Linked DNA regions of Oryzias latipes. The protein of the gene in region 1 interacts with the protein of each later gene in a pairwise test. Links are inferred from orthologs where the notes say so. Each region holds a gene or a part of one and is shown on either strand. Other genes may lie near its edges. The genes, in order: zbtb10 and mob3c.

What was found.
Region 2: the proteins of zbtb10 (region 1) and mob3c interact in binary tests that used the Homo sapiens proteins (3 or more experiments, as listed by UniProt). The link is inferred for Oryzias latipes from reciprocal best matches to the Homo sapiens genes ZBTB10 and MOB3C.

The regions. Positions count from the first base shown.
Region 1 is NC_019869.2:23,370,025-23,375,960, reverse strand, and holds part of zbtb10 (zinc finger and BTB domain-containing protein 10), read left to right. Parts: intron 1-732; coding exon 733-798; intron 799-2,524; coding exon 2,525-2,700; intron 2,701-3,899; coding exon 3,900-4,181; 3' UTR 4,182-5,936. UniProt on the Homo sapiens protein: May be involved in transcriptional regulation.
Region 2 is NC_019862.2:29,243,319-29,249,839, reverse strand, and holds the start of mob3c (MOB kinase activator 3C), read right to left. Parts: upstream 4,282-6,521; 5' UTR 4,043-4,281; exon of another isoform or gene 4,016-4,042; intron 4,002-4,015; exon of another isoform or gene 3,948-4,001; 5' UTR 3,859-3,947; exon of another isoform or gene 3,441-3,858; intron 3,272-3,440; exon of another isoform or gene 3,165-3,271; intron 2,767-3,164; 5' UTR 2,625-2,766; coding exon 2,207-2,624; intron 1,232-2,206; coding exon 1,029-1,231; intron 1-1,028. UniProt on the Homo sapiens protein: May regulate the activity of kinases.

The DNA.
Region 1 (5,936 bases):
TTTAATGAAAGAAACTAAAGTGAATGAAAGTGAAAACACCTTGAAGATCTTGTTTCTGTCATTACCTCCTGCTTTTCCTGAGCTGAACTCCAATCACATTCCCAGACCCTCTCCAGACATGACTGCATTAATACGGCTATAACGCGTTTTCACGCGTCCTATTCTCTAGACTAGAGTAAACGCAAACACGCCTTTGCACAAATGTCCAGTCCTTGGGATTGGCAAAGCCGCTAGGGGCAGTCCTTATCGTACTTAATCCACTCTAAAGCACTGGTGCTGTTCTCACTATTCCAAATATTGACCCAGGGAGAACAAACACACACACACACACACACACACACATGCACGCTCACAACACAGTACAGGGGTGTGTCTTTAATGGGCTGTAAGCCCCGGTGCTTTAGGAAGAGCATATTCAAACACACACAGGTGCTCACTAAAGTTGAGTGTAAGATGAGCTGTTGTGAGGGCTTGGCCCATCTCCCTCTCATTAACCTTCTCCCTGCTGTAAAGCTAGTTAGCTTGTTGCTATGGTTTGTGGAGGACGCTGCTTTGCATTAAGGTCACTGTCTGTGTGTGTTTGCCTGCACCGCGCATGGAAGAGCCCATTGTTTTCCTGTGGGGGTGGTTCGTTTGTGTACAAAAGATATTGTAAGGTGTGCTCCCCCAGGCTCTCAACCACCTGTCATCTCTCTTTCTCCCCACCCCCCTTCCCCCTCCCCCATTTCCCAGAGCTGGCCAATAAGATCCAGTATAGCATCCTCCAAGACTTACAGCAAGGGGAATCCTGGGAGAATGGTAAGAAGCCACTCTAGCGTACAGATGACTACAGTACAGTGTAGTTTAGTGTTGAGTCATGTTTTCTTGTAGTTGTTGTCTGTGTATAGACACTTAATTTATCAAACTATCTTAAACGACCCACCATAATGATCTTTTGATCTATTTTGAAAGTATTCCCAGTTGTCTTTTAATTAGGATTATGCCTTCTAGGCAAAATCAAAAACCTGTGTCGGTTTCTACAATATAGATTCTGCAGAGCAACTGTAGTTTGTTAGAAATTCTTCTCTAGAGTTGTGTATGGGACTGTTGGTGTGGAGCAACCCCGTCCCCCCTTCCCCTCCCCATTGCTGAGACCCCTGAGCAGGGAGCGTGTGCCGCCCCCTTACCTGTTTTCTACGTCACACATGCACTCTTTTTCAAACATTTTATTTATCTGATCCTGATTCATAACGATTTGTACAAAGAAATACTCAGAAATGTAATTTTCATTTTCTTTATACGGGGGGGGGGCGTGGCTCACAGATCCTGGAATTTTGAGTATAAAGAACACCGAAACCCTTTTTATTATAAAACACAAGACTTTGACCTGCTGCAATTAGGACTTTACCAGAATGAAATTTGTAAAAGGCTTCATGACTTGACTTCCCCACAGTCTAAACATGCTTTAAATGTTGTTGGAGGGCATGGCGGCGTTAAAGCTGTGCACCCAGTCATTTAGTCAGGAAATGGCAAAGGGAACAAACAAACAGCAGAAATGGAGCTCAGCTATTTTGCATAGAAAACAAAGTCCGGACTTCGTTTTAATCCAGGCTTTAAAATCTTCACATTCAAACAATATATTGTATCAAATAAGATGGACTAAAAATCCTGATGCAGATTTATGTGTGCCCATCTTTTTAGGATTGATCAGCTGAAGTAATTTACAGAGCATTCTGCTTAAATGTATATACTATGTGTCTGGATGTTCACCCTTTTTATTATTGAGTGATCCAAACGACATGAACCAGTATTTCTGCGTCTGGTGTTTTCATGTTCTAAGCCGATGCAGGGAATCTGAAATTAGTTGAAAGGGTGGAGCTGAGGCTAAAAATGGCAGCAACAGAGTTCAGGAAGGCTTGAAGTCCTATTCACTGCTGTTTCCACAAACTCTCAAACATCCTCACTTTTTTTTTTTTTAAATAAAAACCAGATCTGAACTCGTTTACTTTAGTTCATTTTTTTTCTCCCCCCCCGCTTGTTCTTCAGTGATCATAAAAAAACTGCCAATTCTTTACTGTTGCCCCCCCCTCCCCCCCTTCTGGGCTGTGTTTCACATAGTCACACAAGTGAACATGCAGGTGACCTGCTTCTTATCAGCCGTCCCTTTCCCCCACATAACAACCCACCTTGACGACGCATTTGTTGTTCTCCCGGGCTTAAACAAAGGGATGGGCTCTGTCCTCCTGCTTGCTTTGTGTGGAAGAAGATTGGCAGTCGGGCAGGAACATGTTTGAAAATCAATGCAGCTATTTGCGAGCCTAGCCGTCTCATGGAAAAGGGACATCTCATGTTAATATACTTATTTTAAATCACCGTTATTCAGCTTATTTTGCTGGTCTGTAAAACGGTTCTGTTAGCTTAGCAGACACAGCAGTACAGTGGCTGCGTCTTTAAAGTGTCTTTCCGATCCATCTTTTTTTTTTTTTTTTTTAGTCTTAGAAACAGAAATTATTAGAGAAATTTGATCCTTTGTGTCTTTTCCCAGGTGAGTCGTCACATTTAACCCTCAATAAGCTAAAGTGCCCCCACTGTAACTACATTGCCAAGCACCGTCGCACACTCAAGAGACACCTGATCATCCACTCAGGAGTGCGTTCCTTCAGCTGTGACATCTGTGGGAAGCTGTTCACTCGCCGCGAGCACGTAAAGAGACATTCCTTGGTAAGTCGACATATGACTTTTTAAAAATGTTCTGCTCTTTTTTTTACCCCCCCCCCCATATCTGCCACAGTCTGCAGTGGTTCAGCTTTCCCGGACAGAATAAACGGACAAGTGGGCATTTTTGTCTGCAGAGTTTTTAATGTGCTGGACATGATGCACAATATAAAAATGCAAAAATTGGAACGATGCCTTTCATTTTTTTTTGACTCACAATATGAGATTCTTACAAATGCCTAATTATGTTATTAAAGGTGTCCGAAATTCTAGAAAATTAATCAAAAACACAAAGAAAAAACATGTTGAGAGACCGGAAAGAGGCTGTTCTGTTCCAAATGAGCTCATTGGAGTCGAGGCTCTTATATTGTAGTTCAGTTGAATCCAGTCCAGGTTTTACTACTTGGTCTGAACGGCCTGCATAGGAACCAGAAGCAGATGAAGTAAATACTTCCTGGGGTTTGTTTTTACTGCTGAGCTGTTGGGTCTTTGATTGTTTCTCCGTATGTTTACAGTAAAAGCATTTCTGTTGTTAAACCAGATAACAGCTCACATGAGGAGAACGGAGATGGACATGGATCTACTTTTCTAGTTTTTTTTTTTTTTAAAACCCCATATTTTCGTCTGGTCCTGATGCACAACGATTTGAATAAAGAAATACTCAGAGAGGGAATTTTGATGAAGATCTGTGTTATACATGTCCTCTATCATGAGAAAAATGCTACGAGAACATGTTAGAAACACCATAAACACAATTTCCATCAGAGTGGATCTTTAACTCTTTTGTCTTCAGATTTTTTGGGACACTAATGAGGTGAAAATGCTTTATTCCATTCAATATTAAAACGTTTAAACCGATTTTTTTTCTGATTTTGAGTCGTGAAAACATTTAGATACTATTTGGGCTGATTCTATAGTTCTCCAAACATATGTGCTAAGGAGGTTAAGAGCTGCTTTCTGAGGTTCAGTGGAAGATAACGGCGTCATTTTCTGAGCTTGGCGTGTGACACATCAGTCCTTCTCATTCACGCTGTGACTTTTTTTCTCCCTAAACGACCCCAAACAACGAAACAGGACCGTAATGTCTGGAATGGAGCTTTTTTCTGATGCTTAAATACCTGCTCTGCTCTCAGGAGTGATGATTTCATGTTTGAAAATGATGACTTCAACCACCATCCTCCTCCTCCTCCTCCTCCTCCTTTCAGGTTCACAAGAAAGACAAGAAATACAAGTGCATGGTCTGCAAGAAGATCTTCATGCTAGCCGCCAGCGTCGGCATCCGCCACGGCTCGCGGCGCTACGGCGTGTGTGCGGACTGCGCCGACTCGCACCAGGCCACTCAGGAGGGCTTGGAGGGCATGGAGTTTCCCCGCGATGAAGACTTCGACGGCGAGGAAGGGGAGGACATGGAGGGCGAGGAGCCCACAGACAACGACCAATCAAACTGCGGCGAGGGCACTGCTGTTGCAGCCCCAGAGGAGGACTGAAGAGTTATTACAAGCTTGAGAAACAAATAAAAAGTTGATGTTTAATATATATGTACACACACACACACACACACACACACACACAAACTGGCTGGTAAACAATCAACTCCAAAGTGCTATCAAACCTCAAGGTTACTTAATAATGCGAGTAAATGACCGAATTTTTGTTTTTGTTTTAAAGCGTCGTAAGATGTACAGGTTTTATTCTTAAAACATGTCCAACTCTGAGTCCAGAGCCCACAAGCGAATGAATCAAGTGACAAACGCAATGAATCAGGTTTGGGGTTTGTTTTCTGTTTTTTTTTTAAGGGCATGAGTCGGGCAGGGTGATGTAATATTTGAGTTGAGGTAGGCCAATCATTGAAAAACAAATGTTAATTATTTAATTTATGAAGAGAGGTTATTATGGTCTTATCAAATGCTATAATTTGTGTTTGTGTTTTCGTCTGCGAGCGGAGGCGTAGTAAACGCTGTTGCTTTCTGTCTGAGATGTGTTGCGTAGTGCTTGTAGAAATACACAGAAGAGCAGGTTTTTTTTGTCTCTGTAGATCCTGTTTAGACCTACTAAATATATTCTGTTTTTCTTTTTGAATTTTATTTCCATGCACAAATCTTGGAACCAAATAATCTGTTTTGTGACTCTAATGTATGACAGCCGTATTTATGAGTAATTTAAGAGGGCTGTGATATGAAAACCAAACAGACCGCACACCAAGATTGAGCAGGAAACGCAAAACTACTGAGTAACGCCTAAACGAGACGAGCGGGGATGCTGGGGTTGGTTCTGCGGGGATAAAAGGTTGATTTAAGAAAAAAAATAAGAAAAAAGAGAGGGGAAATGTTATTGCTAGCTTTATACAAATCACAGCGTCACAGTAACACTTTATTGTAATACAAGAGCATTTGACTTTCACTTAAAGCTTGAATTTTGCCAAATGATGAAACGTTTGGTGCTGTAATGCTTGTTGCATAATACTGGACCTACAGGCTATATATGATGTTTATAATCATAAAGCTTAAACTGACTCAGTTATGCATATGTAATCAGCTTAATCTATAGAACACTGTTGTGCTTCGGCGACTATCAGGTATGCTTTGCCATTGTTTTTATTTAATGCACACTTACTAAAACATACCATTTTTGTAGAACTATCAGCAGTTTTCGGGGACCTATGTTGACACCAACATCTGTATGCGTTTGTTTATATTTGGTACTGAGGTTTAAAGGCAAAACAGTATATATATATATAAATATATTTTGAATCACTTGAACGTTGGTTGTGAGGTAGGGTGGGGGGGCGCTAATGTGCAAAAATCATGTGTGACATTTTTAAGTCTGACAAACAGACAAAACTCCATTTTCCATTTGTAAACCATTGAAAGAACTGTTTTTGCTTTTTTCCAAACAGGTCTGCCAGGTCGAAAAGAAAACACTTTGTTCCACAAACGGTGAAGCTCTATGGCGCCTCATAGACATGCACTTACTTTTGCGTTCATGAAAAAAGAAAAGTTCTTTTTATGTTTTGTGTTTTCCCCCCCATAAGCGGGTTTGAATGGAACTATCAAGAAAAAAAACTTCCAAATGCTCAGCTTTTTTTTTATTAATGTTTTTGTTTTTGCTATTTAATATTATATATATATATATATATATATATATATATAAAAATATATTTACTCCAAAATGCAATCAAGACTGTTAATTTCTATTCTATTTGTCCAACCAAATTGTCATTTTTAATTATTGTTCCAATATAA
Region 2 (6,521 bases), on another chromosome or scaffold:
GTTTTTTCTTACCAAGAAGGAGGGTCCAGGCAGGACAGGGGTGGCGTGTTCAGTTTAGTCTGCTTAGTTAAGTTTAGCAGTCAGCTATTGTATTGTAAAACTGATTCTATTTTTTAGTGAAGCACGTTGAGACGACTGTGTTGTAAATTGGGCTACTATATATAAATAAAATTGAAATTGAATTGAATTTTGTCGCCCCAGTGATGTGAGGCGGGGGTGAGAGGTGCTGTAAGCTAGCAGAAGAGCACATAAACAGAGAGCTCTCAGCAATGGGAAGGGGAAGGGGGGCAGGGTAGCTCCCCACCAACAGCCACAAGAGGTCAGAGGTGAATTTATCATGAACTCCTGCTGCTCAACAGAAACTATGTCCAAGAAAACAATGTTTTTATTGGGTCTTGGCTTAAAACAGCATCATCATGAATCAAATACTTTTGGGAAAGCCTTGAAAATGGATCAGAAGATGATCAGAGTGGGAATTTAAGTTAAAATTGGTGCTTCCTGTTCCACTTTTCATCTGCTTTGAGAAGCAAATTACCTTGTTATTAAATACCAAAATTCTTACATTTGTTTTTTTCCGAAGTCTATAATAAAACTGATAATAATAATACTTTTTTTCAAATATTCTTCACTATGTAATGTAAATATTAATGGAAAAAAGTAAAACTGTCACAGTAGAGTACCTTGTACTACCTTTTTGGACAGTAAATTATCCCCTTCACGCTGTGTGTTGCAATATACTGTTTTATCAAAAACTCCTTAAAAACTAATTTAGTATCCCCTCAAGTGTTAAAAAAAAACCCACAAGAATGTATATATATATATTTATAAAATTGGAAATAAATTCAGACATGAAGGGGTTATCATAGCCAGAATATATTAGGTGTACTTGATATGAAGTTGTTAATATTCCTCAAGCATGACCTCTTTGCAGACACATGAAGCATTTCCTCACAGAGAAGACGCTATGAAAGATCTCTGGTTTGTTTGCTACAACATCCTTCTTTATTTGACTCTGTCAGCGGACTCACCAGCGGTTCAAGCTCAGAGTTGTCAATGAGGTTGAACTCTGAGATGAAGAAGTAGTAGTGTTTGTAACAGGTGTTGATGTGGGCCTCCGCACCCATACTGCAGATGCTGTCAAAGTGGTGGATGTAAACGTGCACAAAGACCCTAAAAAGACGGCTCAGGATCTTCTTGCACACCTGCTGGAAGTTCTTGGGGAAAGGTACACCTGAGGTGAGGAAGAAAACACAATCAGCAAGAGATAGAAACTATTTTCTTGTGTAGAATATGTAGTTTAGCAGTGATGTTCAAACATTACAATTTTTTAAAAGTCAAAGTCCTATTAGCTGTCACACACCGGAGTGTGGGAAGTTAGTTTTCTATATTTGACCCCTCCCTGGTGAGAAACAGCGGCACTTGGAAACCATTTGGCATCTTAGCCCCCCAATTTGACTCCATAATGCTGAGTGTCAAGCAGGAAGGCTTTGGTATGAATCAAGTGTGGATTTGAACTCATCACCTTCCACTCTCAGGGCAGACACTCATCCAAGAGGCCGCTGAGTAGAAACGTGAGTCAAAACTTCAAGTGTAAAATACTTTTACATCTCTTACACATAAATGCAAATGTGAAAAGAACTGCTGTATCAGTAAAATGACAAATGTTGCTCACAGAGACAACTCATTTCCGATTTGCTAATTAGTATTTTAGGATCAATTAAGCCTAATTTTACAAAAGTAATTGACCAAAAATGTGTTTTATGCATTCTTAACAACTGTTTGGTGTCTTGTTCTTTCTGAAGGCGATGAAGAATATGGAAAACCCATTTAATGTTGGAGCCAAACATAACCTTTTATTGTATTTTTTCTGTATTTTTAAAGGAAACCAGAGCTCCCTCCACAAACTTTATGCACTGTGTTCACACACCAATTTTTAGGGCTGAGTTTTTCTGTAATAACTCTTTGTTGTCAAACCTGGCATTAGGATAACATAAAGCCAACATTAATTAATCTGCTGTAAATGTCATGTTTGTTGTGTAATTAACCCTTGTTGACCTCAGCATCCGCATCTGAAAGTTTAATGGAGCAGAACTGCCCTGAACTCTGACACCACAAACACATCACTGAGAGCAGCAGGCACACGTTCCTCAAATTACACCCTCCAGACCAGAGCAGACACCTCCAGGCATTGGTTTCTAACACACACCTACTCTGGTGGGAAAGATGTCTTCATCGTTGATGAGCGACTCGATCCAGTCCATCAGCAGGTTCATGTACTTCAGGGCGGGCAACTTGGTGGGTTTTTTGTAGTCGTCGCCGTCCCGCCATCTGTACTCGTACTTCAGCCCCCCAGACATGATGGGACATGTGCGCTCCGTGCAGTACTCGCTCATGGTGCCGTAGATCAGGTTTATCCTGTTGAAGAAATCCACAACGTGAACTGCGATCCAGTCGTTGAGGCTCTCCCCCTCTGGCAGCTGAACCACTTTCCGCAGGTCCAAGCCTGACTTGAGCGAAGCCTGGGCCTTCTTGTAGAGTTCAAAACGCTGAGTGCCGGGTTCGAACCGTTTCTTCGGCCTAAAGGTTTTGTCTTTGCTGAACACTTGTCCGAGACAGAGCGCCATTGACTTTCCTCTCCAGAATAACACTTGGGTCTGACTGAAATTCCAATCTTCCTGAGAGGGGACAGGACGGCTGAAACGGGTCAGGAGGGGTCCGTGTCTTTCATGAAGAGATTGCAGGGACTTGATGTTTGGGAGGATATTTCTGTGAAACACAGCAGAGACATTAGAGGTGGTCCAAAAATGTCGGAGTTCATTCTGTCACGGTTGCAAAAGACACGCTGCAAACCGACTGTTTACAAGAGCACTGAATCACAGGTTTCCTGAACCCTACGTTAGTGCCTGAAGCTGTGCAGTACTGAAGTCTGAAGGAGGAAAACAAAACGGCCGATCAAAACTCTGCTGATTTAAAGGATGGATGGGATCCAATCACAGGAGTTTCGGAGCCAGCCATCTAAACAAATAATAAAAAGGACAGAGATGCGGCTCATTAGAGCCCAGCTTAACCGGGACTTGTGAACGCCAGACTGAGACTCAACAAAGATTTATCAGTTTAAAGAGCACACAGAGAAATTTCCCCAGAGAAATGATCTCATCACTCACAGGCAGAAAACCTCTTCAATTGGAAAAACTCACAGCCGATTCCTCATTTTGAAGTTTTTCCAACAGCTTTGAATTACATGTTAGGTGAAGTCGTATTTTAAAAGGTTCTAACTGTTGAAACAATGAAACGTTACAAGCTGTTTGTGTGGAGAACGTGTTGGTGTTTGATTCCCGGTGTCCTGCAGGAATCCACACCGAGGACACAGATGTGACAGCCAGTCACTCTGGCTGCAACCTGATACTATATCCGCATTTGTGTCCCGTTTTAAGTCGCACCATTTCCTGCGGTTGCTTTCTCTAAGCAACTTGAAGAAGCAGAAGGTTCTGCCTCTTCGTGACCGACTCGGACTGACGTTTTGAAGAGAACCGTTGTACAAAAAAAAATCCCTCTCCACATGCATGAACCGCATCGCTTCTCTCTTGCCTCGGTTCTGTCTGTCAAGATAACAGTAAAAACGTCAGAAAGCAGAGAAGCTGCTTCGTCCCTCACCCGCTTTCTTGGTGCGTCTGGTTTCACTTCATGGCTGACCACTGGGGGACGTAAATAACATCAGAGAAGCATGGGAGTGGGGCTGAACGGAATCTAAAGTTTTGGTTTACAATTCAAGATGACCTTTGACATCATTGGTCTCTTGAACTACAATGGCTTCAAATGTCATAGCATGAGGAACAAAATGACATCAGTTTGGCTCACTTTCTTCACGCCTCACCAGCCTGAAGCGTGTCCTCTCGCGTCTGCATGCACACTTCTCTGGTCTTCACCGACCGAGGAATCGACACGACCTTTTCATTTACGCCGAGAAAGAAAACGTTTTTTTGGAAACCAAAAGAGGAAGGGTAAGTAAGCTTACAGAATGGAAAATCTGTCTCCACTGTACCTGACTGAATTCCCACAGTCGAGTACGGAATGTGGTGGGAATCTGTGGAAAGTTCAGGGAGGATTCAACTCCTTGTGGAGGTCAGTTCCAGCTTTCCTCTATTCTGATCCTAACAGTCTGAGAGGCTCCAACACGGCGAAAAAGAGAAAAAAAAAACTTGTTTTGGCTTCTCTTCCTGTGTTGATGTCACATCCTGACTTTGTCTTCTCCATTGTGGTATCTACTTGTGTGTGTGTGTGTGTGTCAGTGGGAGTGTCCAAGAACCTACGAGTAAAAAAGGGAAAAGAGGGACTGGAAAAACGGCTCACCAAGCCCAGATTGTGTGCCTCCCACTACATTTTTTTCCCCCTGTCATCCCGCTGCAGGGCAGCCGGCCCACTCATCTGATTAGAACCCAGCCCTCTGCTGAAAACAGACCCTCATTCTGATCCAGGACAGAGCCAGTCAGGGGGTCCGCATTTAAGTCTGGATATCAGAACGGCGTTAGAACCCATTGACATTTGAAAGGTCTGAGACCTGCTGCACACCGAAAGGTATTTTACACCTCCACACATGGAAAAAGAACATTTCCATCGACCAGCATTCCACTCATAAACAGACGAGGCGTGTTTGCTGGCAACTATCTACTTCCTCCATCCATTCAGGGGCTTAAAGTTTTAGGCTCATTTGTGTCTTTGTCTCAAAATGAAAGAGTCCCACTGAAGTGTGCAGAGTTTGTTTTCTGCTCTGTGACAAAATGACACAAAAAAGATCCCGCTCGTAGTTTTATTGAGACAAAATACTCAACTTTTTGGGAGATCCCCCCCCCAAAAATATAACCAAATCAGTTAGAATTTAGTTTCAAAATGTAACCATTAAAACATGAGCAAGGATGTTTGTGGTGCAAAGCTTTGGTAGTAACAAATGGGCTTCCTTTACATGGTAAAAAATGGTCAATGCTGTATATTGATATAGCTCACACTGTTGGCTGCGCCGTTGCAGAACACTGGCGACAACATGAAACCACCTAGAAAAACGTGGGGTTCCGTGTCTTGCCCAAGGACACTTCAACACATGGCTGCACAGGGACGGACACAGATCAGAGGGTGACCACTCTACCCCTGCACCACAGCACCCAATCCTTCTTCAAATACACATTTATGTGCCCTTTTATATACATTGAAATGTTTCCAAAGCAGCAACTGGATTGCAGTAGCTCAATAGATCCACTAGAGGTCATCGATATAGCATTATGATTTTTTATAACGTTTCAACTTCAGGAAGTTATGGGGTTGAACTCTATCCTGTTGCATGAGCATTTCAGTTCTTTCATTGAAAATACATTCAGTTTATAATCAAAAATGAATGATTCGGACTTTTTAAAACAACCTCAAACTGTGAAAAATCCTGTCTTCAACTGCAAAGTAACATGTCTCTACACAGATAACAGATGAGTTTGTGTAATATGAGGGGCATAAAACAGCTTTGACTTTACCAAGTCACCATTGAAATGTTGTTTTTTCTTTCAGTTTAGATGAGAAGAACGTGAAACACGATCTAACCCGGAGGATTCCCTGTTGACGATGCCTGAAGATTGGAGCCAAAAGAAGATTTCATTTCAAAATAACAGAACTGATATGAGACAGACCAGAGACCTGTCCAAGGATGTACCCTGCCTTCGCCGACGAGGATAGGCTCCGGCAGCCATGTGACCCCGAAAAGGACAAAACGGGTTCAGAAGATGAAGACTGAAATGAATGAATGATATGAGTAAATAAAATCAAACATCCAAGTTGTGCACTGAGCTTAAAATAAACGTAAACTAAAACGACCGTCACACTACCAATTTTTAATTGTGTTATATATTTTTTAACTGTAATCACTAATAACTAATTCCTGAGTGATGTTTCACAGCAGAACTAAGGAACTTAACCTTTTTCACTCTCAGTATTGAGTCATGAGGAGAAAAAAACAAACAGAAAAATGTAGTCTATACTCCAAGGCATGGATGCAGCAATGCAGCGATGTCTCATGCATAACTTGCGTTTCCTGAGTGACTCAAACATTCCCATTTCATCGTAAAAAAATGTGACAGGAGGAAGTAGACGAGCGAGGGCGTTTGTCGTTCTATACGATGTGACTGTCACTCCACAGTTTACGGCAAGCCCAAACCATGCGGTCTGACAAAACCAACTGGCAGCACAAAAACTCCACATGAACAATTCACTCAACTTTTATAGCTTCAAAGGTTGGGAGAGTTAAACTGCAAACGAGCTGCAAAAATTGTTTGTTTTCTTTTATCTGTAAAATTCAAGGCTTCATCCACATCCAGCACATTTCTGGTGTGGTTTCTGTCCCTCTTAGTTAAAGTCAGTGAGGAGTTTGAGAGGAAACGTCCCTGTCAGTGTTTTAATGACATGACCTGGTGGATGATTCATAATCACACAAACAGAGCGAGCGTCTTATCACGGTGGACGTTTGATGGAAACACAACGACCTT